6 separate regions of the Mus musculus genome follow, and regions 2, 3, 4, 5 and 6 are each reported to be linked to region 1. The links are microRNA targets in miRTarBase. Many come from high-throughput screens and were not tested one by one. Region 1 holds a microRNA gene; each other region holds the end of a gene's coding sequence. Distances are from middle to middle.
The links. The annotated mature microRNA mmu-miR-324-3p reads CCACUGCCCCAGGUGCUGCU and lies in region 1 at 2,983-3,002, opposite strand. An mRNA with a match to its seed (bases 2 to 7 or 8) in the 3' UTR can be bound and repressed. Matches are read on the target gene's strand: a 7mer-m8 pairs with bases 2 to 8, a 7mer-A1 pairs with bases 2 to 7 and ends in A, and an 8mer does both.

Region 1 (5,072 bases):
GAGACGGACGTAGAAATGCGAGTTGCCAGTTCCCACTAGCCTGCGACCGACAGGGGTCTCTCTCTTCGACCCAGTCACCTGGTGGCAGTTCTGTCACTGAAAGTAGGGGAAAGGGCACGCCAGGGTGCCCTAGTGAGAAAGTAATGGAACATGCACCAAACGCACTTCCTAGAGCTAGCGCTTCCTGCACACCTTTTAAGACCCATCTCCAGCCTAACTGCTCTGCCCTTCCCTCCAGGCAGTTCTGGACAAGCCAGAAACCCTCTCCTCTGATGCTTCCACCAGAGAAAAACCAGCCAGGGCAGTAAGTGACTGGAAACTGGACTGACACTTAAAAACCAGGAGTAGAATCACCCCAGGCACCCACCTAAGATCCTTTCCTTCCTTGCCTAGGAATCGAAGTCCTTTGCTGTGGGGATGTTCAAAGGCCAGCTTACCATTGATCAGGTGTTCCCATACCCATCTGGTAAGTAAAGGCTTAGTCAGTCACTGACAGTGTGGGCAGGGGAGCCCTCTCTGCCTGACTAGCCTGCTCTTCTCTCCCATTATACAGTGCTCAGTGAAGAACAGGCACAATTTCTCAAAGAGCTGGTGGGACCAGTGGCCCGGTTCTTTGAGGTAAGGGATGACCAGAGCTCAGCCCCTCCTGGGCTAAGTAAGATGCTAAGGAGCTTAAAGGAGCCTCTGAATATGAGATTCTTCCTATTCCTTGCTCAGGAAGTGAATGACCCTGCCAAGAACGACGCCTTGGAGAAGGTGGAGGACGACACTTTGCAGGGACTCAAGGAACTGGGGGCATTTGGCCTGCAAGTACCCAGCGAGCTGGGTGGTTTGGGCCTCTCTAATACCCAGGTGAGAGGATCCCCCTGGTTAACATTCCACAGTGCTCCAGTTTTGGTAGACTCACCACTAGGGCCAAGCAAGTAGCCAGAGTAGTGTCTACCTGCCTGCCCTTTTTCTCACACATTTTCCCCTGAAACATGATCTGTGTGCAGCCCACTAGGACCGTGGACCTAACTGTGGTTCCCAGGTCTTTGGGGACTGTGTGAGGCAACACAGCAGGCAACCTTCCCATCAAGACCAAGGGCAGCTGGGCACAGTGGCACTCATCTTTAATCCCAGCATGGAGGATGGAGGCAGAGGCGGGCGGATCTCGAGTTCAAGGCCAGCATGGTCTACAGAGGGAGTTTCAGGACAGTCAGGGAAACCCACAAAGTTTCAGGCTAGCTGGAGCTACAAAATGAAACTGCCTCAAAAGGGGGGGGGGGGATTATCTAAGCCCTTTGATGTTCCTGCTCCTGTCTCCTTAGGAAAGACTCCAGGGTTTCATGCTAGAGAAGCAGCCTACCTGGGAGCCCCATGGCCAGCCTCCCTGTGCCCTGTCCAAACCCACTCCACTCCCCATGCTCAGAGTAGAGATGCTCCAAGCCCCAGGCCAGGTCTGCCCTGCTGCCCATTCTTGTTGAGGACAAGTTCAGTGCAGCCAGCTACAATCCCAGATGCCTCCTTTCCCTCCAGTATGCTCGCTTGGCAGAGATTGTGGGCATGCATGACCTTGGTGTTAGCGTTACCCTGGGAGCTCATCAGAGCATCGGTTTCAAAGGCATCTTGCTCTATGGCACAAAGGCCCAGAGAGAAAAATACCTTCCCAGAGTGGCATCTGGTAAGGCAACCTTAAGAGACCCAGGGGTAAGGAGTGTGACACTGCTCACGGTGTTACAAGGAACTGCCTGGGGATGAGGGGGTGCAACTCTGGTGGTCAGGATCCCCAGTGAGCCCGTTCTCTCCCCCACAGGGCAGGCTTTGGCTGCTTTCTGCCTAACAGAGCCCTCGAGTGGATCCGATGTAGCCTCCATCCGAAGCTCAGCCATACCCAGCCCCTGTGGAAAATATTACACTCTCAATGGGAGCAAGATCTGGATCAGGCAATCTTCCGTTTCTCTTCTACCCTTCAGCCCAGTGGCCTGACCCTGCTGCTCTAAACCCTATACTAACCACCTCACTCTTCCACAGTAATGGGGGCCTGGCTGACATTTTCACTGTCTTTGCCAAGACGCCAATTAAAGATGCAGCCACGGGGGCCGTGAAAGAGAAGATCACAGCTTTTGTAGTGGAAAGGAGCTTCGGAGGGGTTACCCAGTGAGTATGGGGCAAAACAGAATCAAGGATGGGGACAGCACTGGGCTCTCAAGAGCAAATAGTCAATACAGGCCACGCTGGGGCTATCTCTGTACAAGAGGCACCCACAGGAGGTGAGCAGTTTTGTTTCCACTGGGGGAACACAGGCTAACAGGCCATAGCTAGATATCCGTAGCCCCTGGGGCACATAGGCAGTGCCCTGTATCCTTTTTATAGTCTGGGGAGTTCTCCCCTGATCATGAGACCCGAAAAGGCCGTTTTCCCCCACAGCAACCTGTTCATACCTCAACTTTCCTGCCCTGCCTTTTCAGTGGGCTCCCTGAAAAGAAGATGGGCATCAAAGCATCTAACACGTCAGAGGTGTACTTTGATGGAGTGAAGGTGCCATCAGAGAATGTGCTAGGAGAGGTGGGAGATGGCTTCAAGGTTGCTGTCAACATCCTCAACAACGGAAGATTCGGGATGGCTGCAACCCTCGCAGGCACCATGAAATCCCTCATTGCCAAGGCGGTGAGTCCCAGCCCAGTCCCTAGCTAGCACATGTCCCTGACTGCCTCAGAGCGCCGACACACACACATGCACACTCGACCATCGGCACAGTTAGGCCTCCAGCCCGTCCAGGTGGAAACTGAAGAACCACAGTGGGGTAACATGCGCCCTCTTGCAGGTTGATCATGCTACTAATCGTACCCAGTTTGGGGACAAAATTCACAACTTTGGGGTGATCCAGGAAAAGCTGGCTCGGATGGCTATTCTGCAGTATGTGACTGAGGTAAGGGCCTCCTGGGCCCCTTCCCTGGAGCCCTATGGCTTTCTTCACAGTTGGGTCAGACTACAACCCCCAGCAGCACCTGGGGCAGTGGGTCTCCAGCTTTACACCAATGCCCTAGGGGATGCGAGGAGGCATAGTCAGTTCTCTTCTGGAGGGTGGTGCTGCTCTGCTAAATGCTGCCCAGATGCACCAAACACGACTTTTAACCCACCCCTTTACAAAGTCGGAAGCCTCGAAGCCCCTGATATACCAGAGGGTCACATATTGGACATATTTGACCTGACCAGGAGGCTAAAGTGAATTCAAGGGTTGGAGGAGTAGATCAGCACTGGTCTTGAAGGTCTGAGCATTAGCCATTCTGTCTGATGCAGCCCTTCCCTGTTGTCTTCCCCATGTCCCGACCATGCTCCCTTAGTCCATGGCTTACATGCTGAGTGCCAACATGGACCAGGGATTCAAAGACTTCCAGATAGAAGCCGCCATCAGCAAAATCTTTTGCTCGGTGAGGACCCAGGTGTGATGGGAGGGCGGAGTCCAGATTAGGACCTCAGCTCAAAAATCCAACTCATCTGGTTCTCTGTCCTCAGGAGGCGGCCTGGAAAGTGGCAGATGAGTGCATCCAAATAATGGGGGGCATGGGCTTCATGAAGGTACAGAGTATTCCTCGGCAGGGGGGGGCATCTGTTCAGAGTGGACAGGCACATCTCAACAGAGGTTTCTGTGTCTTCCTGCGTGCCAGGAACCAGGGGTGGAGCGTGTGCTCCGAGATATTCGAATCTTCCGGATCTTTGAAGGGGCAAATGACATTCTTCGACTGTTTGTGGCTCTGCAAGGCTGTATGGTAAGAGGAAGGAGGATGAGAGAGAGCAGCTGGGGAGGACACTGAGTCCTCACTGTCGCCGTCCCCCTTCTCTCCACAGGACAAAGGAAAGGAACTCACTGGGCTGGGCAATGCCCTGAAGAATCCTTTTGGAAACGTTGGCCTCCTGATGGGAGAAGCAGGCAAACAGCTGAGACGGTACCTCATGGGCCGGGGCCAGGGTCAGAGTCAGGGTCAAACAAGATGGGAGGCCGCAACTGACCAGTCACTCTTCCATCTCCTCTCAGGAGGACAGGAATCGGCAGTGGTTTGAGTCTGTCAGGGATTGTCCACCCAGAGTTAAGTCGCAGTGGTGAACTGGTGAGTGAGCCTTAAAGCAGAGCCTGCGGTGGCTGTGCGCTGCCTTCCTCTCCTGAGCTCTGTCTGTGACTCTTGTCTCTTCAGGCAGTGCAGGCTCTGGATCAATTTGCCACCGTGGTGGAGGCCAAGCTGGTGAAACACAAGAAAGGGATTGTCAGTGAGTGAGCTCTGCAACCCCCTTCCCTCCCTGATTCCCTCCCTCCGACTAACAGCCCCACCCTCATCTACCTGACAGACGAGCAGTTCCTGCTGCAGCGACTGGCGGACGGCGCCATTGACCTCTATGCCATGGTGGTGGTTCTGTCCAGGTAAGGCGGCAGCGAGGGACGCTTGGCAGGCTAGAGCCACAGAGGAGCTGGGCCAACACCAGCACTCAGGATCATTTTAACCTCTGTTTCCTCACAGAGCCTCAAGGTCCCTGAGTGAGGGCTACCCGACGGCACAGCATGAGAAAATGCTCTGTGATAGCTGGTGCATTGAGGTGAGCCTTGGAGCTCCCCAGTACAGGTGGGCCTTGGAGCTCCCCAGTACAGGACGGCCTGACCGTCCCTCCCCTTCCCTCTCCCCAGGCTGCAACTCGGATCCGAGAAAACATGGCCAGTCTGCAGTCCAGCCCTCAGCATCAGGAGCTCTTCCGGAACTTCAGAAGCATCTCCAAGGCCATGGTGGAGAATGGTGGCCTGGTCACCGGTAACCCCCTGGGAATCTGAGACTCCCAATCAGGCCCTGGCAAGGTCATGTGCCTTCTCTGATGCCAAAACCCTTTATGGGGGTGATGGAGTACTTATTGCCTTAACAATAAATTTTCTACCAAGTCACTGTCTGCCGTGAATGTCACTGCTCCCTCCTCTCCACTGCCTGCCTCGCAAAGAAAGGAGCCAGAGGCTTGGGGAGTTGGCCTCTATTTGCTTTATTTGGTGTTTTGTACAAGTGACTAAAATAAATAGAGTAACAAAGGCAGCTACACAGTCCCCAACACAC
Region 2 (5,072 bases), not on the chromosome of region 1:
ACTCCTGCAGATGTTGTAGCTCTCTAGGGTCTGATTGCTGAAGGGTGGGAGTGAGGTACCTTCTCTCCTGCCAGAGCTGTTAAAGGGTCAGGTTCGAAGTGCTTGCCCCCCTGTGCCAGTGTGGTACTCATGCTAAGTATTCCAGTTTGTGCCAGGCACCCTTGGGAAACCAAAAAGACCTAGAGCAGCTCTGGCCAACACAGGCTGGAGAGTATACAGAGGTTCCTCTGGGTTCCCAACAGAGGGCATCCTCCCTTGGGGCGTGGTACTTCTGGGGCTTAATCTATGCAGAGTGCCCATCTTCCCAGACATCCAGGTCTACAATCTTGGTCCAGGAGATGTTAAACTTGCCCATGGTGGGCAAGAAGGAATGTGTGTGTTGGGAATGTGACTCTGGATGACCTCAGTATGAGGCTGACAGCTCTCTGTCTTTGCTCTTCAGGTCTCCTGACAATCGCAGCCCCTGCGGTGCCCCCTGGGAGTGGCTGTGGCTCCCTGGAAATTCTACACCTCAGCCACAGTCCTGCATCCTATGTGGACACCGCTCATTCTCCCCCATCCACCCACTGTTTCCCAGAGGCCTAACAAAGACAGCCCAATTCCTCGGAGCTCTGAGCTCAAGTCTGTCCAGCTGAACCCAGGAGGCTGGGACTCAGACACACATGTCAAGGGTGGTACCTGGAATCAGCAATACCTGGTGTGTGGAGCCTGGCTGCATCCATCCTCACTAGCCGCTTGCTCCCTGGAGTTGGAGGACCGGAACAAGGAAATTGTGGCCCGGCCAGCTGGGCCACAACGCAAGGTCCGGGGACTGTCAGGTGCAGAAGCCACCACCCCCTCTGTCCCAGACTGTCTGAATCGCTTTTATTTTCTTATACTTTCAGTATACTCAATAGACCAAAGAGCAAATCTATTTTAACGTGGACACATCCCTGCTGCCAAGAGTTCCCTGGGTTTGATTGTGGGGCAGGGGAGGGCGCAGTGGCAGACATGCTGGTGGCCCAGGCAGCATGGAGAGGGCATCTGAGGCCAAGACCCCCGCCCCACGAACACTGCAGCGTGCCCTAAGAGGATGGCTTTGCCCAGAAGGACACCACCGTGGTGCACCTGCAGGACCCAGCAGGGGCATGGCCGGCGACGGCCCCCAGCGGACAGCAAGGGCCCCGGACACAGACCCTTTGCCCCTGTGCTTAGACCAACTCTATCGTACTAAAATCACTTTCTGTTTTAACCAGTTAGACATGCCTCTTCCACAGCTCCATTTTTGATAGTTGGATAATCCACCATTTGCCAAGAGCATGCTGGGTCTCCTGTGACTGCTATCTCATCTGATACACCATTTAGCTCCAGAAAGCAAATTAAAGAAAACTGAAGTAACCCTGTTTGAAAGAGATCATTAAATGTATTTTGCAAAAGCCTAAAGTTATATATTTAACAGTTTTTATATGTTGTATATTTGTAGAAAATCCTATTTAACATTTGACGGCAGGTCTGACCATCCTGAGAGTTGTGGCCAGGCCTCCCTGTGATCCTGGAGACTCTGGGGTGGCCATGGAGGACCTCAGAGCAGACATGGACGGGCAGAGCTGTGGGTGAGGTGCAGAGGACCCTGCCCATTCTAGGAAGCTCTGTCTCTCTTTGCTTTGGTTTGGTCTGATAGTTCACATCCCCCTGTGAGTCTGTGTGTTGGTAAACATTGCGTATACAATATTTTGGTCATGGATTTTGGTCCCTCTCTCTCTTAACCCCTTTTGCCATCCATAGATCTTGAGTCCATGTACGGCCAACTTGCCCTTCCCAGGTGAATGACCCCCTTCGTCTTCAAAGGTCCTTGTTCTCCACATTGGGAGGCAAAGACAGCAGGGATGGAGGGGGTGGAGAAGCTGGGGAGCAGAGTCACTGTCCTTGCTTGCCCTACACTGTGGGGTCAGAGGCTATCAGATAAGGGACACAGTCCCCATTCATTTTCCTGAGTTCTGCTACCAGCATACTACCTACATGTCCAATTAACATGACTATCATGCTAGTAATATACTACTAAAGGCAAACATTTAAAAAAATGTATTTAACTCCAGTATATAGATGCCGTTCCAGCAACCATAGGCTAAAGATAGGAAAGAAAGTCCATTTCTGTGAGACCCATTCCGGTACCCATGTGTCCTCCCTTCACTCATGCAGAGATTAGTATCCTGGGCAGGGAGATGAAGCTGACATGAGGGGCTCTCATCAAAGGAGGTGGTCAAACAAGGCCACTGTCTCCGAAGTGTCAGGCTCCAGTGGCCTGTGTTGCAGGGGGTCAACAGGGCAGGAGGTCTCATTTCACCACTGAACCTCAACATCCGCCCCACCTCCCCTTGGCTGTTTCTTTTGAAAGCTAGCATAGAGACCTCCGAGGGCAGAGACCAGGAGACTTAAGATGTTACAGCATATTTCCCCCTTGTTTTACAGTATCCAATTTTTGTGTTGATTCAGCTAAATTATGAAAATAAAGAAAAAAAGTCCTTTGATAATCATGGCTTTTGTTCCCTGGCCGTGGTGTCCTGGGAGAGGGGAATAGTTTGCATGGCTGGTGGGGACAGTAGGTGGGCACCATGCACTGGGTCCTTCCTGCTCACAACACCTGAGGCTGGCACCATCACCAGCTCCTCCTTGAAGCACCATCTGGGAGTTAAGTGCCAAGGATTTCTTGGGCTTGCACCAATAGGCTCTGAAGCCATTCCTGGTATGTACCTATACTATATTATAGGCCTGCTCAGGGGTGCTCAGCACCCCTGGGATATGTCCCTGTCCATCCCCCAGAGGCAGGAGCAGGGCTCCCTGCTTATTAAAGACATAATCTTCTGCTTTACCTCACCCCTGTGGGCCAGAGACAGACAGGTGGCCCAAGGGAAGATGGATTGTCATATGTATTTGCCTGTCTCCCAAGTTCTTATGGCCTATAATGTCCAGGACAGAGTCCTTCTCAAGGGTCCTTTCTCCCTTTCACAGAAATCTCAGACCTCCAAAGAGCAGCCCTTGGAGAGGAGGTCTAGAGTCAGCACTCAAGGCCATTTGCCAGTTCCTCTTTACTTATACTAACCACAGGTAGGTGTGGCTCTTGGGTGGGCTATGGATGGATAGCCTGTGCTTTGTTCCAAAGAGACTCCATTGACCTCAAAGCCACAGAGGCAGGTAGACAAGGCCAGTCTGTCTTTAAGCATCTGGATTGTATCTTGTGGCCGAGACATGGAGACTTGCATCAGCCTCAAGAATCATTCCTATCCCTTTGGTACCCATGACGAGAAGTGTCAGCCTAGTGCCCCTACCCTCAGGCTCCCTCACAAAAGTATACTGTAGTAAGCTGCCCTGGAGTATGACAGGGCATATTTTTCAGAATTAAACATTGGGACTAAGATCAGGGTCTCTTTCCCCATCCTCTAATCACACATTGTTTGGCATCATTTCTAGGGAGATGTCTATTCACCAATATAGGGAACTGACAATAGACCAAAGTAATACAACCAAAGTCCTACTTTATGCATCAATGAGTTTACTGGGGTTGCAGAAGATGGGTGAGATGCTACTAACTGGTGCATAGTCAACACAAAGGCAATTGCATCACCAAAAACCCACCCAGCTTGGGTGGCATCTCGTGAAAGGGGAGGCTTGTGAACAGAGGTGTTCCTTGAAGGTAGGGGATAGCAGAAATAAAGCATCCCAAGGTGACAACCACTGCCACCCAGAGAGATCCTTGACCCTTTTTTCCTACATTGTCTGAGTCTTACCTGCCTCTTGCCAGACACCCTCACATCCAAAGGAAAACTACATGGAGATCTTGTCCTGAGCTGCTCCTCAGACTGAGAGGTGGGACTTAATCCTCACAAAATTGTCCCTAGCATGGAGACCCCAGATCTTGGGGACCTAGGACTCCACTCGATGGGAAGAGATGGACTTCTGTACTACACTCGGAAGAATCATCCATAGGTTCTTCCCTCCTACATGTCTTAGATGATGGTGGAAATTCCCCATCAGAGTCAGTCATGGGGTAAGCAGAAACTGGGAAAAGTAGGGAAGAGTAGACTGGGCTTAAAGTGAAGTGGTAATGTACCATCTTGCAGAGATGAAGGGCCAGATTAGAGGGTCATCTGTGTTCCACAGTAAAACCAGAACCTCAAAATCTCAGGACAGTGGCCTATCATGACCTTAACACATCCAGCCATCCCCATTTCAGCGATCTGCCTCAGCTCTTGTCCCTATTTTCTCACCCAGATCAGCCTTCATAGCAGTTAACTCCCCAGCAACATGTCTATTGAAAGAGGCACAGGATCTGGTCCCTCATCACTCCTGGCCAGGTACCCACCATGGAGACAGAACATGTGCCAAACTCAACCACCTAGTGAACTCCTCTTTACTTAGCATTGGTGTTGGTGCTCCCTTAAAGCTAGAACAGCTATCATGGTTTTGTGTCCTGAGAGCTCCTGTGCACTGGCTCCATGCAGTAAGGGCTGATCTCACTGTGTGGCCCCGCACACCTTCTTCCAGAAGTTAACTCCTCTAGGGACATGCTGCATCCTAAATATATTTCATTTCTTTGTTTGTGCCTGTGGTCATAGAATTACTCTGAAATAATAACTACATTTGTTTTCTGCTTTAAAGAATATTATTCGTTTATTCCTTCCACCAATGCTTCAGGGAGGGAATTTGTCTCCGTCACTGGCTGTGGGTAGCCATTGGCCCCATGATGCTGGGGCAGCTTTTGGTGCCTCAGATGAAGTTCTGCCTCTCTTCCTTAAGCTTTTCTCTGAGGAGACTCTCTTCTGGGACAAAAGCAGTCTGAAGATCCAATCTCTGTCTTGGGCACAGCCCTGCTTCAAAAAAAAATGTCAATGACTATAAGGAGGAAAATAACCCCAAGCTTCAGAAGTGAGTATTAAAATATTTTTGGGATTCCCATTAATCAAGACAAGAAAGGGAGTTTTTACTCAAGACCCTGGTGCCAGGAGCCAAGACCAGAGACACAGGCTGAGAATCTCAGCTAAACTTCACTCAGCAGATGGCATGGTCTTCTGGCCACTGAGCAGAAGCGGGGGGGG
Region 3 (5,072 bases), not on the chromosome of region 1:
GGAAGTCTCTTGACATCTTTCCTTGTGGACCACGTGTAGAGAGAGGTTTCAGTTGAGCAAAAGCGTTGGATTTAATGTGTGTGGTGTGTGGAGCTTGGGTTGAGGGTTGCCAGCGAGTCTGTGCACTTAAGACACTAGCATTTCACACATAAGCGGCATGAGGGGAGCCCAAGGAAGGCATGCCCTATGCCCATGTCCGAGGCAAAGCCACAGCCCCTGAGAGGCCCTGCATGCCTTTGTTACCCGAGAGAAACTGGGCGTCTGTTTGAAGGCATGATGATTTAACATACTTGGAACGGCTTCTCTGCTTCTCCATGGAAGAACACAGTCCACTCCATTAAGAGAACAGCCCTCGAGGGGTAAAATTAGAAAGTTAAACTGAGCGGTATTGGTAGGAATTTCCCTGTGTAACATTCCTGTTGTGAGAGTCATGCAGAGAAGTTGCCCAGTGGGGAGAAAAGTCACAGGAACGATAGTCACCCTCAGCCATTTCCTCATCTTTTTATTTCCTGTGGCTTTTGTGAGTCATGGAGTTGACAGAGTGTGTTTGGGTTCCAGGGCGACACATCTGGAGACTATAAGAAGGCCCTGCTGCTGCTCTGCGGGGGCGAGGATGACTGAGAGCCGCCTGGAGCGCCCTGTGCCTGCTGCCCACCATCAGCTTTCCTCAGCACCACACTTGCTTGCATTCTGTGCCTGCCGCGCTGCCTTACACTAGTATGCTAATGACCAAAGGTGTCTTAGATGAAAGCAGTGTCCCGCCCTTCTGATGTTCTGTCTACAGTAGGTAGTGACCTTCCCATATCTCTCAGTCCAATGTCTGAGTTATTAATATTGTCTATGAATTGCTTTTTATATCCTTTTTTAAAGCTTCATTTATATTAAGTTAATAACCCTATTATCTTGATTGGAACCTTAGCGGTGAAATTGTGAACTCTTGGAAATGCTGTCAATCAAGCTTACTGCTCTAGCAGACCTGCAAAATTATGATGGTAGTATCCAAAACATTGGCGACAAATAAAAACATTCCCTTCCCTCCAAATCCTGTGTAGGTTTGTGTTTAGAAAGCTTATTTAACAATGATATCCCTTTGAAAGCAGGCACTTGACAGTAGTATTAGTTAAAGCTAAAACTATAGTTGGTCTTGGGGTACTAAAACATGCAGTATCGCAGACTGAACTTCCTAATGCGGTGAGGTAAAGGATGGAGAGAGAATGGGGGGTGGGGGATGGGAGGTGGGGGTAGGGTGTGGATGGAGGAAGGGGGTGGGGTGGGGTGGAGGTGCATGTGTTCCTCTGTGTGTGTGTGTGTGTGTGTGTGTGTGTGTGTAAAACAGTTTCCTGGTGGGATGAAAGCTGGGGAGGGGAGGGTCCCCTGGTGGGAGGAGGGGAGGTGAAGAGAAGAGATTTATTTCCTCACCAGCTAGGACAATACTATGGAGCTTCTACTAGCAGCAGAAAGAGTAAATTTTGCACAACCTAAAATTTCAGTGTGTTCGAGTTTGCTTGTAACTCTGCTCTTTACCTTCTCCTCCTCCTCCTTGAGATAATTGTAGAAGTTTCTTCCTCCAGTCCCATAGTCCCAGAAATAACCTAATGGCTCATAACCTAAGATAACCCATTTATTCTAATCCATGTTCTGCCACGAGGCTGGTTACCTGTGCTCAGGCACCACACGTCTGTCTCATCACAGATAACACAGACAGTACTCTTTAGGAAGCCATTTCTTCAGCCTTGCCTTCCTGTTTCCCACCTTTGGGTGCCTTGAAGTGGAGTTACCTTGACATTTGTACATATGCTATATACTCACGGCTACTTTTTTTCCTAAGTAAAATGTTAATATCCTTATTAAATAATGACAGCGATCTTTTCACAGACCTCACTGTTCTACAAAATAACCAAGGAAACTGTAAAAATTGTGTGTGTGGTAATGTGAAGTTGGACACCCCACCCACCCATAAACACACACACACACACACACACACACACACACACACACACACACACACACTCCCGCCCAAGCTCCATAGACGCAGAGCCCAGTCCATCACATAAGCGGTGCAACACACACTTGCCGGCTCCTGAGCGATGAGCTGACTGTGCTGGCCCACACCTGTCATCCGTACATCGAGGAGGCTGAGGCAAGAGGATGTTTCGAGTTCCAGGCCAGCCTGGGCTACAATAGGAAACTAATCAGAAAAAGAAAATGCTTTACCGTGTGCTGTATTTTCCAGTTTGTAACGCCCTGCTCCATCTTGCTGTGAACCTGCTGTGAAAACAGTAGTTCTTCTCAGATCACTTTTAAAGAGACTCATTAGTTAATCTGAATGAGAGCAGTGAACATGTATCTCTTCTTTGGAGAGACAGGCTTATACCACATAGCCTAAGCTAACCTTCATCTCCAGATACCATCCTCTGTATGTCTCCCTCCCTCCCTCCCTCCCTCCCTCCCTCCCTCCCTCCCTTTCTCTCTCTTTGGGGAGGAGGTGGTGGGTCTGGAAATTGACCCTAGCAGATCATGAGCAAGTATTCCACCACGGAGCTACACCCCTGCCAGAGTTGTCAAAGCTCTGCAGAATTGGTGCCTTTATAGACTGGTAAATAAAAACCAAGCCGGGACATTGAAACCAACATGGATGGACACTTAGGAACTTTCCAATCTTTTGCTTAAAATGACATCACAGTTAGAGACTTTGCCTTTCATAAAGTGGGCAGGTCTTAATTTGATGTGTAACAGTGCAGTTCCTTTTACAAATAACGTGTGTGAAGATAACCGGGCAATCGTGAGGAGAAAGATAAGATTAGTTCTGAACTTCCTCTATTCAGTTAAATCTCAAAATAGTAAACGTGGTCATTGCATAATAATTAAGTCATGTCCTCGTGTTTCGGGCTAAGAGTCTCTGGAAGTAAGTGTTGGCATGGAGTTAGAGATGCAGAGGGCTTAAGGAAAGAAGGCAGGAAGCAGAACAGGTCAGGTATCAGATACTTGTAAGCTCAGCTCTTGGGGTGCTGAGGGAGAACTGTTATGATTTCATAGCCCAGACTGGGCTACAGAGCAGAAAAAGCCACCACAATAATGAAACCTAAAAATGGTTTCATTTTTAGCAGGTGAAAGATAGCAGAAGCCCCTAACACGACACAGATCCAAGTTGCATCAAGATTTCTCTCTGCCAGGAATGGTGAGGATTGTCAGGGATTCAAACCCTGGATGATACAGTGTCGTCAGAAGACTGGTGAGGGTGGAACGCTCACGTGACAGAATGGGATGTGAGCCAACACACACTGGCATCACTTATCAAAGCTATGAGGGCATTTACTGTCTACCCTCCAACAGCACCCTGGGCACTTGTCCCAGTTATGCATGATACACACACAAGGCTCTCATCATGATAGTCTATTTTAACGATAACCTAAATATCCATCCATATAGCAGACTACTCTAATAAAGTAGTGCATAGAACTTATAATAGTTTTTTATGAATGGTGGCATGTCAGAGTCTCCAATACCCTTACTGAGGAATCAGGGTTGAGAAAGAGTACCCATAGCATTTCCTAACTCATGTTTGAACAGTAGGAGGTAAGGACAGGGCTAAAATTATAAATTAGCTTGTATCTATGTGAAGAGATGCTGAAAAGACATTGGAGGCAAGCATTAAATTATTTCGCTGTAGACAAGGAGAGCACCAATCTAATTTGCCCTTGATGGACTCTGTTCATGCCCATGGTCCTAAGTAGTTGTAAGCAGCGCCACCTTACGCTTGTCCAGGTTTTAATGAATGCTGTGTGGAGTGGATTTGGAGGAAGTGGTATCTGTAGCATGGTGACATAAGTCTTAATATGTTCAATTATTAAACTGATGTGTGAATACAGCTTAAGGAATACAGCTTAAGTAAGCTTAAAAGAAAATTACCTATAAAATAGTTGTAACTCTGGGGCTGGAGAGATGGCTCAGCAGTTATGAGCACTGACTGCTCTTCCAAAGGTCCTGAGTTCAATTCCCAGCAACCACATAGTAGCTCACTACCATCTGTAATGGGATCTGATGCCCTCTTCTGGTGTGTCTGAAGACAGCTACACTGTGTACATATAAATAGAATAAATCTTAAAAAAAATAGTTGTAGCAAGGCATTGGTGGCATACACCTTTAATCCCAGCACTTGGGAGGCAGAGGCAGAGGCAGAGGCAGAGGCAGAGGCAGAGGCAGAGGCAGAGGCAGAGGCAGAGGCAGAGGCAGAGGCAGAGGCAGAGGCAGAGGCAGAGGCAGAGGCAGAGGCAGAGGCAGAGGCAGAGGCAGAGGCAGAGGCAGAGGCAGAGGCAGAGGCAGAGGCAGAGGCAGAGGCAGAGGCAGAGAGGCAGAGGCAGAGGCAGAGGCAGGCGGATTTCTGAGTTTGACGCCAGCCTGATCTACAAAGTGAGTTACAGGGCAGCTAGAGCTACACAGAGAAACCCTGTCTCGAAAAAACAGAAAAAAAAAAAAAAAGCCTAAACAAACAAAAAGAAAAAAACCAAACAAACAAAATAGTTGTAACTTAAAGGCACAAATGTATATATATATTTATATGTGTGTGTGTGTATGTATATTATATATGTATATGTAACATATGCATATTTATTAAAAAGGTAGTTCCTTTAAAAAATAACTCCTGTAAAGATAATTGGTCAATCATTGACACCCTCCTCCTATGACCTTTAACTGCCTATGTATAACCCTTTCATATTGAAAGCAAAATAATCATAACTCCTTAGAAATGAAGGCCAAGGACTTGAAAAAAATAATTTACAGAGTAGGTGAAATAAATTATTTTGAAACATGTGAAATGATGGATAAAATCACTCATGACAGCAATGTAAAATAATATTACAGTGAAGTGCAGGTTTTACTTAACTAAGCAAAGATGAAGCAGGTGCGGATAAAGGCCTCACATGCCACGCCCTGCACAGCTCCAGGACCTGAGAGATGGTAAGGGAACAATCCGAAGACAGACGCACAGGTAAACAGAAATCTGGGATGGAATGGACTGGAATCTCTAATGGAGACACTGCAGCGTCCCAGAGGCTCAGAGTCTATTACAC
Region 4 (5,072 bases), 36 Mb from region 1:
TCTCCATCCAGCAATAGCATCTCATCCACCTCCAACCTGACTCCCACCTTCCGGCCTTCTTCTTCAATTCAGCAAATGGAGATCCCACTAAAACCGGCATATGATAGGTCATGTGATGAGCTATCACCAGTATCTCCCACTCAGGGAGGTTATCCTAGTGAGCCTACCCGATCCAGGACCACACCATTCATGGGGATCATAGATAAAACAGCCCGGACTCAACAGTACCCCCACCTTCACCAGCAGAATCGGACCTGGGCAGTCTCATCAGTGGATACGGTTCTCAGTCCCACGTCTCCAGGCAACCTGCCTCAGCCTGAATCCTTCAGTCCACCATCATCCATCAGCAACATTGCCTTTTATAACAAAACCAACAATGCACAGAATGGCCATTTGCTGGAGGACGATTATTACAGCCCCCATGGGATGCTGGCTAATGGGTCTCGTGGAGACCTCTTGGAAAGAGTCAGCCAGGCCTCCTCTTATCCTGATGTGAAGGTGGCACGGACCCTACCAGTGGCTCAGGCATACCAGGACAACCTGTACAGGCAATTGTCTCGGGACTCTCGACAAGGGCAGACATCGCCCATCAAACCAAAGAGACCATTTGTGGAGTCTAATGTTTAAGAGACATTTGTTGGAGTGAGACCCATATGTTTTCACTGCACATTTTCAGGCTTGGTTTCCACATCTGAGGTAGTTCTCTGGCTTAATTTCTCATGTAGTTTCTGTGTGGTGTTCAGAGGTGACAGCCCACATGTTGAAATCCTTTGCATGCAGCTGACTGGGAAGCTGGCCTCTGGTGAGCCAGGACTTCAGTTTCTCGGGTCTGTGCCCCAGCCACATGCTCTCTCCCTCTCTTCCAATACCAACGAGGAGATTTCGTGCCGTGAGCTTTAACCAGGGAGATCAGACATACTGGTCGGCTTTTTCCAGGAGACAATCGCTTTCACTGATGTTCTTGTTGTGTGAATGTCTTTTTCCTTTTTAAAAAAGTAAGATGTTCTTGTTTGTTTTCTTCTAGAAGCGTTAGGACACGTGTGATGCCTTTCTGTCCTTGCATCCTTCCTCAGTGTTCACATGGCCAGCCCCAGTGCATCGCTGTGCCATGGTCTTCTCCCCAGACTCCAGCTCCCTGCAGGCGTCAGCTCTAGAATCTTCATTTCCTTTATTGCTGGTCCTTCTCTGGGACAAAGGGGTCTAGGGAGAGTGAGAGAGAAAGAGTAAGAGAGGAAGAAAGAAAGAAAGAAAGAAAGAAAGAAAGAAAGAAAGAAAGAAAGAAAGAAAGAAAGAAAGAAAGAAAGAAAGAAAGAAAGAAAAAGAAAGAAAGAAACGCTAAATTGATTGGAAGAAAAGCCCACTATAATTATCTGAAATGTTACTATGTTGGTTTTCCAAGAAGTGTTTGGGGAACTTTTAATAAACATCCAGCCCTGATTAGCCAAGGAAATTCCAGGAGAACTGTTGGTATTTTTAAAGTACTCACCAAGAGGTATTCTCTAGGCTTTAACTAACAGCTACTAAAGGCTGCTGATTTTCCACGGCTAGAGAAGGGAATAAGTATGGAGAAAGGAGGAGAAAGGGGGAAAGATTGTTCTTGCTTCTCACCAAGAGAAAGCTGTGTCAAGTCTGCATTTTAGATCACAAAAAAAAACCCTGAACAACCTCTGAGGTCTGGCTGCTGTAGTAACCCGACTCGATGCACTTTCACCTGGAGCCAGGCTTCGCTCAGCTCCATTGTCTCAAAACCAAGATGATAGTGTAAAGAGTTTCTTCCAGAACCTGCTTAGGTTCTCTTGGGACTGTAAGGCCCATCCCAGGGTTTCCACCCAGGCCACTACATTCCGTGTTGGCTGTTATCTAATTCCATTTTAAGACCTCTGATTTCATTATTCTCTGTTAAAGGAATTGTCTCTTTTATCTAAGAGTGTTAAATGGTAATCTTTGAAAATCAGAAACAGCCAAAAGTGTTACAGATTGCTCTGAGCACTGGGTAGGGGCATGAGATTGATAGTAGGCCTTTTCCTCCCTCCGTTTCCATTCGTCTTGTGGCTGTTTGCTAACCTGATTTTTTGAAAAGCTGAGACAACTGTGAGATAGGCATCAAGGACACAGGAACCAAAGCTGTAGCACAGTACCATCTCTGGGAACACGTCAGTTCTCAAAACCAAGCCACAGGTCCAGCAAAGTAACCATGTTGCTTGTTGCTACCATGTTCTTAGGGAGCATTTCTCATTAGTGAAGGGCTGCAGGAAGGACAATTTCCTGAACAAAACCCAGCTGTGATCTGTTTGGAATGCAGTTCTCTGATAGGATCTGAAGTCATGCAGAGCATGACACTGCAATCAGAAACCTTTCATCACTGATTTAGATTCTGCCAGTAGATGGACCCCAGGCCCCCCAAGCCTAAAACAGATCAGAATTCATCTCTGTAAGCAGGACTGCTTTTACTCTGATATAGAACTGCCCCATCCTCCTAGACTAGGATAGGCACTGGTCATTTCTCCCTACCTGACCATCCACCTGTCTTTATCTTCATCTCTCCCATCTGGAAGAAGCTTATAGCTGTGGGGTCAGCCTATAGCTGGGAGCAGCAGCCTCTCCAGTCCCCTTGTGGCCTGGACACAGCTCTGTTGGTCTCTGCATCACATTGTATCTTACCTGAACCACCTCTGAGGGAGCTCCTACAGTCCATTAATAAAGTGCTCCCGCCTGTTTGGAAAGCCACCCTTACCACCTTACCTGCCCAAGTGGGTTAGAATGCCATGCAGACCTAAAAATACACCACAGCTGCCACTATTACCCATGGTCCCTCATTTTCCCAGGAAAATTAAGAGAGTTAGCGTCTCTACCCCCACCTGAAATAGCAGTGTCAAACCACAATTATTTCCTATCCATTATAAGAGAGAGTGCATGCCACTACTGGAGCAAGTGGTTTTTGACTTAAGAACACCAATGGGAGCTTCCTGAGGCAGGAGACAAGCATCTTCCCTGGATGCAGACTGCCTGCCCTGCTTTGCTACTTCACTGCCATGGTTGATCTTAGTACTGTATTTTAAATGTGCCCCTCCCTTCCCAACAATGAACATTTGCCTGGCTTCAGGATGGAAGACAAATCTTAAATGAAACTGGCAAATTCTTATCACTCAATTCACATCACCCTTAAGTAGAGACAGGTGACAAACTTCAGCTTGTAGGTTTCTCACCCAAACATGTTCCTTTGCCCAAAATTCTTGCACTGGTGGGTTTCCATCACATCATGTCTATAAATGGGTGCACTTTACTGTTTGAATTTGTAACTCTGATAAATACTGGATATTTAAGTGTGAGTAATGTCTTCATTAGAAATTAGAGTCACTCTTGTCTCTAGTGTGTTTTTTCAAGAAAAAAAGATACAAGGAAAGAAATCAAGCAGTGGGCCACAGCATTTATAGCACAGAAATAACGTTGTATATAAGCCTCAAAGAGTAAGGATTTTTAAACACAAGAAAACATTTGCAGTGATTTTAAAGTGCTTTTCCAGCAATTTTCTTAGGGACTCCTGAGACATGGTTCATTTATTTACTGGATCAGTAAGGCACACAAGTAACAATTAAAATTATTGTTTATTTACAAAGTAAAGGGAAAACCTCTGTAACATGAGAATTCGGCATGGACAAATGGAGATCATTTTGTATCTGCTGTTGTGTCTGTCCAGGTTGCAGTCGTGCACTATTAGTCCCGAGTTAATAGAGCACAACCCCCTCTCGTTCCAGGTGCCCCTTTCTAGATGTGTTTAACTTAAACTTGATGGCTCAGGAAAATTCCACTCATTAGAATTGTGTACAGTATCCCAGGTTGTTGCCCAGATATCCAAGTTTGCTGATTTTAGTTAAGCCTGGATTATCACTTTTCCTAAATTATTATAAACAGAACAGCTTAGAGAAAGGTGTTCTCCTCCCTTATATTGTATAGTAGTTTATGATTCCCTCTAAATATTGGTATTTTTATATTTCAGAGATATACCCAATAGAAAAATTTTAAACCAGTATCTAATTTAATATCCATAAGTATTTTTCCTTAGAGTTTAGTCATATGCAGTGGGATATGTGGATGTCACTTGTGCTTCACCGTACTCTACCACTAGGTGTCACTGTGACCCTGCATCATACTTACCTGGTTACAAAGAATGGCTTCGTGGAGCTGCTGCCAGTGCAGCTGGCAAGGGGGCCCTACAGACTAGAGGTTCAGGAAGAAGGGAACACAAGCCTGAGGGGGCTTCCTGCAGCCATGCCCCTGTAGCAAGGCAGACTCTGGACACCACGTTTGCGAGGTTACATTGCGCTCCCTTTCTCCCCGTTAGAAACCGTTCCTCTCAGTTCACTCAGCCTCCGGCTTTTATAACTCCAGAAGAATCACAGTTGGGTGGTTGATTAAAGATGGTTATTTTTCTACTGCAGAAATGCCTTGGACAAAACCAGTTGCTCACTGAATCTTTGCCACACAATGGAACAGGCTCCCCAGGTGGCAGGATATGCTGCCTCTGTGCCCATCTCTTGTTGAGGCTCTGAGCGCTCAGCAGCCCCACCCACCCTACCTGTCTGCCCTCAGGCTGCCCAGTTCTCAAGAAGGGGTCTGCTACCGCCTTTACTCTGAGGGCCATACTGCCCTGCCTCGTGCTTGTTGAGAGGTGTGACTTCTCCTTTTCCTCTGGGAATTCCAGACTGACCATCTACCATGACTAACAATGAACAAAGGGCTTAGGGTAAGAGCTACCTACAAAGACGCGTCATGGAAACCTTCACCATGCAATGCCTTGAACTCAGCTCTGGCTGCTCCCAAGAAAAGGCAGCTGGCTAGGGGCCTGGACACAAGCACAACGGGGCTGGTGGAGCCACTGTGCAGAGCTACTTGAATATTCACTGGGTCTTCATCAACTCTTTTTGTAATACAGACCACTCAAGGGCTGAAGTGTTGGTAACCTTCATTTCGGTGTCCAATGCCTCACAGCAGCTGAGCCACCCTGAGATGCTTGTGGCCACGTGATGGCCACAGTCAGAGCTTTGAAAGTCAGTACCAAATGAACGTATAAT
Region 5 (5,072 bases), not on the chromosome of region 1:
TCAGGAAGCTAAGGCACAAGGATTGTGAGTTCAAGGACAGGCTGAGCAACATCCTGAGTTCCAAGCTATAGATGGGCTATAGATGAGAAACATTGTCTCAGAGAATGGCTTGGGGTTTTGTTGTTGTTGTTGTTGTTTTATTTTGTTTTGTTTTGAAATCTAGCAGAATAAGTCCTTGCTTGCTGAGACAGGGAATTCTAGAGGCATGACAATTGGGAAGTGAGTTAAAGAGTTGAGTTTGATTCATTTAAAGTGCTTATTAGGTTGATAACATAAACAATATCATATATGTTGTTTGGGTGTGGTAGCGCATGCCTTTAATCCCAGCACTCAGTTAGGCAGAGGCAGGTGGATCTTTGTGAATTCAAAGCCAGCCTGGTCTGCATGGTGAGTTCAAATACAGCCTGGTCTACATAGCGAGTTCCAGGCCCCTCAGAGTTACATGATTGGACCCTGTGAGGTCAGAGAACAACTTGGTGGAGTCAGTTCTTTCCTTCCACCTTTAGGCAGGTTCTGGAGACCAAACACGGGTCATCAGGCTTGTGTAGCGAGTACCTGTACCCGCTAAGCCAGCCAGCCCTAAAAAGCCAGTCTTAACGGCCCTACTCTCCTTCTAGTGTCTCCACCCTCCTCCAGTGTGCCCCCAGTCCACCCCAGATCCCTTGTATTCTTCCCCAGTCCTCCCTGCCAGTTGGGTGTTCACACCTCCGTCTTCGCTCCATCAGGCTATCTATAAGATGGTGGGCACCGTGATCATGATGCGCATGAACCAGGATGGGCTCACACCCCAGCAGCGTGTGGACAAGATCTTCAAGAAGATGGACCAGGATAAGGATGACCAGATTACGCTGGAGGAGTTCAAGGAGGCGGCCAAGAGTGACCCGTCCATCGTGTTGCTCCTGCAGTGTGACATGCAGAAGTAGAGGCCGGTGAGGGGCAGGGCCCCTGGCCAGGAAAGGCATGGCAACCTTCCAACCTGATGTCCTCTCTGCTGGCCCACCCCCGGGGGGAGGGGCGTTCCAGCCTCACTCTCTAGCTCACCCACTCCTCTGTCCAAGCCTTTCTCTCCTCAGTCAAGTTCCTCGAGCGACCACCACCTCATTCTGTAAAAGAGACAGGTCCTCTCAAGTAGCCTGTCCTCAGATAGTCTGTCACTAGCTCCACCTCTAGCCTTGGCCTAGAACCAACATCCTTTGGGCTTAGGAGAGTTGGCTTTTGACCCCAGAGGCGAGGTTAAGGAGGGGCTGAGGACTTGCTTTGCAATCCTGTTGTTCCCAGGATTATGGTCCAAATAAACAGCATGGTCCCACAGGCCCCCAGTCAAAGGGCCAAACCGGGTCTGTCCCGGGCTATCGGGATTCCCCGAGAGGTGGTCTCTGCCCTGCTCCCTTGCTCTACCTGGCCCCTCTGGCCCCAGTCTTTGGAACGTTCAGTGAGTCCTTTCTTCAGCTAATGCTTGTTGAACACTTGCCCCATGCCAGGCACCTGAAGGTGCTAAGAATACGGTTGTTTACAGAAACCCATCCCATGCCCTCTGGAAGCTCACAGGGTAGCGAGACAACTGCCAAGGGTTGCAGTCTCGGACAGGATGGTGGAACACAATGGAGATGAAGGTGTGAGGTAGCTGGCACGCTGTCAGAACTAGTGTGTCCTCCAGCTGGTGCCACCCAAAGCTGCAGAAAGTCCAACTGAAAAACCTGTGGAACTTTAGGTGCCACGTGGGTGGATGTTTTAAGAAAAACAAAATTTTATGTAATATTTATTTTTTTAGTGCCCTTTCAAAGACATAAGATCATTTTATTAGACTATAAAAATATACTCTATATTACTTGATTTCTTAAAAAAAGATTTAAATGAATATAAAAATGCTGATGTTCAAGGGGGGAAAATGTTTAGGCAAAAGCGGTAGGGCCACCATCAGGTCTGGAGAACCCGTACTCTCGCCACCAGCAGTTCCTGCTGTCTCTGCTATGTCCCTTTATTACCTTTTCTCAATTCCACAAGTGACTTTTCTGTCGCACACCTTGGGTGCTGACATCAGAGTAAGAAACGAAACTTACCATGGGCAAACGCAGTTCATTCCCACGGCCCGGTACCATGGGCATGCGCAGTTCATTCCCATAGCGCAGTATCATGGGCAAGCGCTGTTCATTCCCACATCTCGGTACCATGGGCAAGCACAGTGCATACCCACATCTCGATAGCTTGTTTCTGAGTTTGGGTTGGTTTTTCAGGGATCGGCTTATTCTTTCACAGCCTAAGATAGAAGGAGCTAGAAGAAAGGGATCTTGCGGCTGTTCAGGCTTCGGGGGCTGCGCTTATCTATGGACCAAATGCTTAAAGAATGTGCTGGGCGTACTCCGTGCAAAAGGCTTTTCCTAAACCCTTCCGTCCTAGATCTGCCAGGTAATCTACTTTGTCACCTTCCAAGCTCACCAGCCTCGCTTTCTGAATTTTAAGGTCTATGAGCTAACTAGTGTGCTGCATGCTTTCCAGAAAAATCCACCTGCTTCTTCCAGTTCCTCGCTTCACTTTCGCCTACGCTTCCTTGCGATCAGAGGTTGGCTTTGATGTGCGATGACAGTTGGCTTCCTCTTGAGCTGCTGTGAAAACAGTCTAGTACAGAGATGCTGTCAGCCAGGGTGGGCGTAGAGAGAGCTTGAGAAGCTGGGGCGTGTGGTGGCGGAGATTGCCCTGCAGAAGATACGCTATTTGCCACTTACTTCCGAGTGCTCACCTCCCTTCTGGTAGAAATGTTTGTAGATTCTGACCTGTGGTCCAAAGTTCTGTCAGACTTTCCTTCTTGTGGCCTTTGGAGGGAGCAAGCCACCTTCTTCCTGACCTGCCTATCCAGGCCACGTGCTAAGGGTGAGGAATTCTTAGCCTCAAGTGGTACTAGCAGTTGTTTATCTGGTGATGCTTCGTGGGGTTGCTCCATAGCTCTGGCACACGGCCTGCTAAGCATGTCTTTTGCTATCATCAGTGCCACAGACACATAAATACCCAACCACCTTGCTCAGCTGGGACCTGGATCTTCTAGTGAAAAGCTTTTCCTTCCCCCCAAATGTTTAATCTAGCCCAACCCACAATGACACAGAATTTCTTGGCTTTCTAAGGCTTGTATCTGCCTGCATCTCATTTTGTCCTCACAGCCCAAGGAGATAAGGGTTTTACCCAGGCTTGGAAGCTAAAGTTAAGGGTTGAGGGAGAGAGGTCTCTTGTATGAGAGACACACAATGCTAAGACTCGAACGCAAGGCTCTCCAAGAGTCTCTTCTCTGCTCCATCTGATTTGTCCAGATGCTAACTGCAAGACAAATCGACTTTTATCCTTTCAGAAGTTTCCTGCCAAGAACTTGCTGAGGCTACAGTCTTCCGAAAAGGAGGAGGAGCTTGAAGTCTCTCCACTTTCAAGCATCCTCTCGTAGCTTCTGGGCAGCTTTGCAGTGCTGTTCTTGGAGGCTGCTAATCAAGTCCTGGAAGCATCTTGTGTTGTCTTCTCCACTATCTTCCTTCCCCAAAGAATTGCTTTTCTTTTTCCAAGTTGGTAGGCAAGTCCTACCCATGAGACAGATCACTCTAGGCTTCTAGTCACCCACTCACGGGCAATATTTGCTGCTTAAGGCCAAGGGTTTCAGACAGCCAACAGGCCTCAAACTGGCTCTGCCCTCTTGCTCATGGGAGAAGCCACAGACAGGTCGAGCCTTGCTCCCACATTCTCCTGGGTGTCTAAAACTCAGTATGCCCAGGAGACCATGTGGTAGAGCGCCCGTCCCTGCCTTGGGAAGAGAGAGATCTCCCATCTCCACTCCGGCTTGGGAAGCACTTAGCATGAAGCACAGGTCAGCAGAGATCTGGGTATGACTCGCACAGGCATGAAAACCTAAATGCAGATAAAACACTGGCATACCAAGTTCTCCTTCGAGGTTCTGTATCCTCTTACAAAAAGTCTGTGAATCTGGTGGTTCCAAATTTAGCCTTCTCATGCCTGCTATCCTCATTCATCCTTTCTGGCTAAGTGATGAGCCCCTTATTTCTCATCCCTAAAAATCCCCAGCGTAGGCTGCCTTGTGTGCCGCTGCGATCCGTGCAGCTGCGTAATTACTCGCGTACCTTTGAAATGAAGAGAAAGCCAAGCCCATTGGCCAAGGCACCAATTCCTCTCTGCTCTGGCAATGGCAGAGCCTCAAAAGCAGAAATCCATTTAACGCAGAAGGTTATGGAAGCAAGAAAAGGACACGCTGGTCTTCCCAGGCAGGGCAGTGAGCAGACACTGTAAATATTTTTACACAAAATTTATTAAAGCAAAAGTCATTTCCTGAAGATCCACCCTGGGTGAGGCTTTGTGTTGGCTTTAGAAATCACCACGGGGCTAAGAATACATTTCCTACATAGCTGCTTCATTGTGCTTAAAGGAAGCAAAGAAGTCACGTGCTAAATTTTAAAGTCTCAGAAAAACATGGGTTTTGTTTTCTACCCCCTAGACTTTTCAGGGTTTTCTCTTCTTAGCTTTGTCGGAGTATGGGGTAGGACAGGGTCTCTAGGGATGCATGGGTCCCTCTGCTTGGTGGAGGCTGCCCAGGTGCATGGTCTTCTAAGCAGTGAGGAAGCCTAGGTGTATCCCAGTTCACTATGGGAGCCCCAGTGTAGCCCTGTCCCCTCCGGACATGCTGCTTCTAATTGTGTTCACAGCAACCATCTTCACTGATCAACCCTGTGCCACGTGGTGTGTGTTTTTCCCACTGACAATGAATAAAAGGTGTGACTGTACAAGCTCTGTTCTTTGCTAAACTGGGCTGGGTGGGGTTAGGGTGGGGCAAAGGGAAAGAGGCCAGGAAACTTCACAGAGTTTCCTTGGGGATCAAGCTAGATCTTCAGTCTGGCAGTGTCTTAGTCAGGATTTCTATTCCTGCACAAACACCATGACCAAGAAGCAAGGTGGGGAGGAAAGGGTTTATTAAGCTTACACTTCCACGTTGCTGTTCATCACCAAAGGAAATCAGGGCAGGAACCCACATAGGGTGGAAACTTGGAGGCAGAAGTGGAGGCAGAAGCCACGGAGGAATGCTGCTT
Region 6 (5,072 bases), not on the chromosome of region 1:
TAGAAAATAAAGAGAGAAAACACTGGATGGAGGTTTGTTCTTTATCCCACTGGGTAGCTGGGGTGCACTGAAGCAAACTGACTTCAGTAAAACCAGGCATGGGGATGGAGGGCAGACACCTATAATCCCAGGTCGGAAGATCCAAGTTCAAGACCAGCTTGGACTATACAGATTGTCTCAGAAAACCAAACAGCACAAACAAAAACCCCACAAAACAAATAAATGTTCTCAAGCACCCCGAATAATTAACTCTCTGCTTCTAGGGGCCTCTTAAGGCCTGTTCCAGGCTAACACGCATTGGTCCCTGATTGGGTCATGTGCCTATCTCTGAGCCAATCAGCATGGTCAGTGATAAACTGGATAAACTGGATAAGTTACTCAGATTGGCAGACACAATTCTATTTGCCCAGACCTGAAGCCACCACAGTATCCAGCAAATCAGAGTCGGAGGGGAGTGTGAACTAGTTCCTATGGTTGTCAGACAAAACCCAGGTCCCTCAGTTAAACCAATTTCAGGGAAGACAACAAGTTGGTTTTGTGGTATAATTTCACCCAGGCAAAAGTTGGGATATAAGTCATTTGTTTCTCTCACATTCAAACTTAAGTGAATGGTTGTGGGTCCAGGGAACTGTGGACCCGGCTCAGAGCGGAAGTAGGGTCATCAAGTTGTGTCCGGCCCTGGAAATATTTTCTCTAGAGTGGTAGGCTGCACCACTCCCTCCCGACTGGGGCCTGCATGTACTGGCAGGCAGTCCTTCCCCTGCATCTTTACACTTCCTTCCCCCTTATAAGGTCCTGTCCAGCAGTAGCACCTGGACTTCCTCCATAGTAAACGAGGCATCCCCAGCCCCGACCGGCCAACGCCAAGGATCCTCCCTCTCCCCAGAGATCCCTATCCACTTCCCCAAGGGTTTAAATCATCTTTGACCCCCAAATTAAACGAGCTGTCTCACTGAAGCCTCCTTCGGAGAGTCTGTTCTGAGGTCCCCTGCTGTTCCCACCTCCGTTTCCCTTTCAGGCCATAGGTTGAAATCTTGGGTATCACACTGTTATGGGTTGGGGAACAGTAGAGACCACAAATGGCCTGGACCCTTTTCTGTCACATATAGCAACTCTGATGACGTCCTCTAGAGAAGGCAAGGTGCTGCTGCCAGGAGCCAGCGGCTGATCCACGCTGTCTGATGGTCTAGCCTGGTGGGCGGAGATCAGCTGGGCTCCTTGCCATTGAAGGCCCCTTGCCATACCTGTGGTGAAAGGCAGTCCCACCTGGGTCACACTAGAGGCTCTATGGGGGACACTGGGCTGAGCACTTTATCACTTTAATGTGTGTGTGTGTGTGTGTGTGTGTGTGTGTGTGTGTGTGTGTTGGGGTGTACACATGTTCATGGAAAACACCAACTAGCTGTGCTGGGAGAATCCAAGGAGGGAGGGAACCCACTGAGTCCAGCGAAGATTCTGCTCACACACTTGGGAGCCATCTGAAGGTGTGCAGCAGAAGCCACATCAGAACTGGTTTGCTGTCCTCACTCTCAGGGGACAGTGAAGGTCAGGTTCCAGGATGATGGTTTCAACGGTCCCATCATTAAGGTAGCTCAGACCTGGCAAGCCCAGCCACCCGTGGTCTAGAAGAGTACTGTGCCATTCCTACCAGGGACCCCATGAGCCTTTTTAGCACTGGAAACAGGTTAGTCACACTCAAATCACCCAAGACAATCCATGATTTCTGCTTCATCTCCACAAGGGAAGCTAGGTTAGCACGCTAGAGACAATGAACGAACAATGAACATGAACTTGGCACATGTCCTTGTCCCCATTGTCTCTCAGAGAGGGAGAGACTCTCCCAAGGTCACACATCCAAAGTCTTGACTCTAGCCCAGGCTGTCTTTCAAAAGTCCGTTCCGTCTCATGGACACCATCACTACAAGTGACTGCAGATCTTGTGACCTTCCAGGTCTCACTTCTTTCAGGTTTAACCCCTGCCAGGGACAGTCTGTGATCAACCATTGAGAAGCCAAAGTACTTCTCTTAGGGCAAGGTCGAAGCTGACACTGTTGTCCATGCCAGCCAAACTAGTTCCCAAGGTATCAGGATAGTCCCAAGTGAGATGCTAGCCTTGGTGGCCTCGTGGGTGTGGTGCACCTCTATAAAGGGTGGCACTGGCACAAGCAGGCTGACCCGCTGGGATTAAGTGTCCCTACACTGTGAGCATGTGTCACCTAGGTCATGCACCTCCCACACGGTGTACAAAGAAGGCAGCCTGGCTCTGGGTTAGGATTGTAGATACTATAGTCACCAGCCTTACTCTCAACTCCAACTTGCCACAAGGCAGTTAGTTGACAGGCCCGGAAAGTCCCCAAACCTCTCTTGATTAGAGATAATAACCTGTGCCTGCCAAGGCTGTGGTGGGCTTCTATGAGAGATCCCAGCAAGCAGTAAGGCTGCACACTTGGGGTCTTGGATAAGCTTAATTTTGACAAGCAGCCCTCTCAGAGGCTGTTGCTGTTCCCACCATCCTTGCCAAGAAACAAGACGGCTGTAGTCAGACATAATTGTGTATGCCAGAACCCAGCACTTGGGAGGCTGACGCTGGAAGATGGTGAGTTTGAGGCTAGAATTGGCTACAGAGTGAAAGGAAGTCAGACCCGATAGTGCGGGCCAGCTCGCTGAGGGGCAGAGGAGGGAGAGTCATGAGTTCAAGGTTTGTCTGGGTTACAAAGCAAGTTTGGATTAGCCTAGGCAACTTTGTAAGATACCTCCTCAAACTAAAATAAAAAGGGCTAGGACATAGCTCAGGGAGAGTGAGGCTGTGATTAGATTCCCAGTGGCACAAAATAATAAAGAACCAACTTTGTTCAGGGTAGCCACTTGCTCAGTCCAGCGTATAGATCCTGGACTCTAGATCTCTAACCAGGGTGTTTCCCTATCAGATTTGCCCTTTTGGGAACCCCTGAAAACAGTTTTGATTGTCCCCTTGTAGTAAGAATTTTGGTTTCTTTAACAACACAGTTGTTATGTGACTATGTTTTTACTTTAATCCCAGGTGTGGGATAACAGGCTGCTTCACAGCAGGTGACTATGATTTGCCTCATGCACTGGCAGGAGCGTGATTTTTGCCATCTGCAAATAGTTGAATTCTGGGGACTCTGGTAAAGGTATAAATGGGTGAGTCCTAGCGGGCATGGGCGGCTGCTGCTCCGCCTGCTGTTGGACCCTGCTGCTGGTCCCTGCTGCTGCATTTGCTATTGCTGGCTTGTTTGGTGATATTCTAACTACAAAGATTGACATACCTAATGAGCAGGGTGTAGTCTAAGGAGGTCTATACCTCTTCAAATCTTCTTTCTCTCCTACCTAGTGTTGGGGGTGGAGGAGTTTGGAAGGGATGGGGGTGGAAGGGAGGGAGAGATATAAGAACCCAGTAAAATAGTTCAAAAAAAAAATTGTACCAACATCCCCTAGAGCTGTGCTCCTGGTAGTGAATAGAGGTCAGGCTCATGTAAAGAACAGTTTCCCAACAAAGTTATTTGACTCAAAATGTTGAAAGGACTAATCTGAGAAATACTGAAACAGGTCCTGTCCCCACCCCCTATACTTTCCCAGCATTCCTTGCAGCTGGGGACATACCCTGTGACCAAGAAGTGGCCAATGTGGCCTAGAAGTCAGCAGGGGCTGGTGGAGCACTGCTGACTGCCTGGTAGAACAGAGAGCCATGTCTCTCCAACCTGTCCTGTGGTTTCCTCCTGAACATAGGTATAACAGTCATACTGCCAGGGTCACCTGCCATGGGCACTGGCTAAGGTCCCTCCTCTGTTCAGGCCCTAAGTCAGCTCCTGGAGTTCCCACCCTCTGACTTCTCATTATTGAAAAATTCATTCCTCTCAGCTCAAGTCATTCAGGCAATGTTATTTACTGTTACTTATAAGCCAAACACAGCCTTGACAAGTACAGATGCAATAGACCAAAAAGGAGGAGATGAGATTTGCAACATCCTGTACACTAAAATAAACAAAAGGGCAAAGTGAAGCCAAAGTTCTCACCACAGCTGTAAGATCCTACACGATTTGGCTCCGTTCCTCTCTAACCCAAATGCCTGATGCCTTCTTCTCCAGCCACCCTGGCTGAACGTGGCCTCTGCACTTGCTCTGTGCTTCTTTCCAGGGGAGCTCCCCTTTTGCTCCTTGCTGTAGACCTCACCCCGCCTCTCATCTACCTGCTCACTATTCCACCCTCCTCTGCTCCCTCTGCACTGGTGAAGCCCCAGCCTCCTTCATGACCCTACCCACCTCAGTGTCCTCAGGCCCTGCTCAGTGTGTGAGCACTCAGATATTACAGAGAAGAAGGAAACACCCTTTGACCCACTTCACGGTGTTTATTAAGCCCACTTTTAAGATAAGGTTATTTTTACAAATCATCTGAAAATTTCTCTCTGATAAATAATACATTACTTCTCATTTATAGCCTTTTTGTTGTAGATACTGAGTCTCTAGTCCAGGATGACATCACACTCACAGTAATCCTGTTGCCCCTACCTCCCAAGGGATTATAGACATGTACCAATGTACCACCATGCTTGGCTTATGTACACATACCACCATGCCTAATTTCCAGTTCTCTCTCTCTCTCTCTCTCTCTCTCTCTCTCTCTCTCACTCTCTCTTGCTCTCTCTCTCTCTCTCTCTCTCTCTCTCACACACACACACACACACACACACACACACACACACACAGACACACACACTGCCCCACCACTGAGAATGAATCCATTCTGAGAGTCACCAGTCCTGTACCCTGTCCTGGACACTCTTCTCACAATTGGTCAATAATTCACACCACGCATGGTGGCCACCGTGGCTGCAAGGCGGCGTGGCAGGCCTTTGCTGACCTGTCTATATTCCTCAGGCTTGGCCTTCAAGAGCGCCGCAATGTTCTGGAGGGTTCGTGATGGCTGCAGGCCCAGTGCGTCCATCACGTTGATCAGATAGTCTGTGGGTGAGGAGGGGACAGGTTCAGCAGCATAGTGCATGGGGACCCCAAGGCCTTCCCAAATGCTGGGAGCTCCCTTGCAGGCAGACCTTC

Region 2: the mRNA of Tafa5 is a reported target of mmu-miR-324-3p. The part of its 3' UTR that is shown has no 7-base or 8-base seed match.
Region 3: miRTarBase lists Anxa5 as a target of mmu-miR-324-3p. The part of its 3' UTR that is shown has no 7-base or 8-base seed match.
Region 4: miRTarBase lists Tanc2 as a target of mmu-miR-324-3p. Seed matches in the 3' UTR shown: 7mer-A1 at 3,498-3,504.
Region 5: the mRNA of Hpcal4 is a reported target of mmu-miR-324-3p. Seed matches in the 3' UTR shown: 8mer at 4,258-4,265 and 7mer-A1 at 4,598-4,604.
Region 6: the mRNA of Cog7 is a reported target of mmu-miR-324-3p. Seed matches in the 3' UTR shown: 7mer-m8 at 4,732-4,738.

Annotation. Positions count from the first base shown.
Region 1 is chr11:70,010,025-70,015,096 of GRCm38, reverse strand. It overlaps Mir324 (microRNA 324), which reads right to left and starts at 3,054; the gene lies at 2,966-3,054. It overlaps Dvl2 (dishevelled segment polarity protein 2), which reads right to left. Exons shown (of 15, transcript NM_007888.4): 15 at 4,988-5,072. Acadvl (acyl-Coenzyme A dehydrogenase, very long chain) reads left to right here. Exons shown (of 20, transcript NM_017366.3): 3 at 239-304; 4 at 394-466; 5 at 554-618; 6 at 718-852; 7 at 1,519-1,663; 8 at 1,796-1,925; 9 at 2,014-2,139; 10 at 2,451-2,649; 11 at 2,807-2,911; 12 at 3,327-3,413; 13 at 3,499-3,561; 14 at 3,651-3,752; 15 at 3,832-3,929; 16 at 4,019-4,091; 4 more. The coding sequence ends at 4,801.
Region 2 is chr15:87,756,855-87,761,926 of GRCm38, forward strand. It overlaps Tafa5 (TAFA chemokine like family member 5), which reads left to right. Exons shown (of 4, transcript NM_001252310.1): 4 at 443-2,510. The coding sequence ends at 451. Among named protein-coding and RNA genes, the nearest start is that of Mir6393, 37 kb to the right of the region's middle.
Region 3 is chr3:36,444,893-36,449,964 of GRCm38, reverse strand. Anxa5 (annexin A5) reads left to right here. Exons shown (of 13, transcript NM_009673.2): 13 at 559-1,042. The coding sequence ends at 621. Among named protein-coding and RNA genes, the nearest start is that of Mir7009, 28 kb to the left of the region's middle.
Region 4 is chr11:105,923,090-105,928,161 of GRCm38, forward strand. It overlaps Tanc2 (tetratricopeptide repeat, ankyrin repeat and coiled-coil containing 2), which reads left to right. Exons shown (of 26, transcript NM_181071.3): 26 at 1-5,072. The coding sequence ends at 627. Among named protein-coding and RNA genes, the nearest start is that of Cyb561, 19 kb to the right of the region's middle.
Region 5 is chr4:123,189,933-123,195,004 of GRCm38, forward strand. It overlaps Hpcal4 (hippocalcin-like 4), which reads left to right. Exons shown (of 5, transcript NM_174998.4): 5 at 726-4,767. The coding sequence ends at 923. Among named protein-coding and RNA genes, the nearest start is that of Hpcal4, 9.0 kb to the left of the region's middle.
Region 6 is chr7:121,918,490-121,923,561 of GRCm38, forward strand. Cog7 (component of oligomeric golgi complex 7) reads right to left here. Exons shown (of 17, transcript NM_001033318.3): 17 at 4,350-4,979. The coding sequence ends at 4,813. Scnn1b (sodium channel, nonvoltage-gated 1 beta) reads left to right here. Exons shown (of 13, transcript NM_011325.2): 13 at 1-239. Among named protein-coding and RNA genes, the nearest start is that of Scnn1b, 56 kb to the left of the region's middle.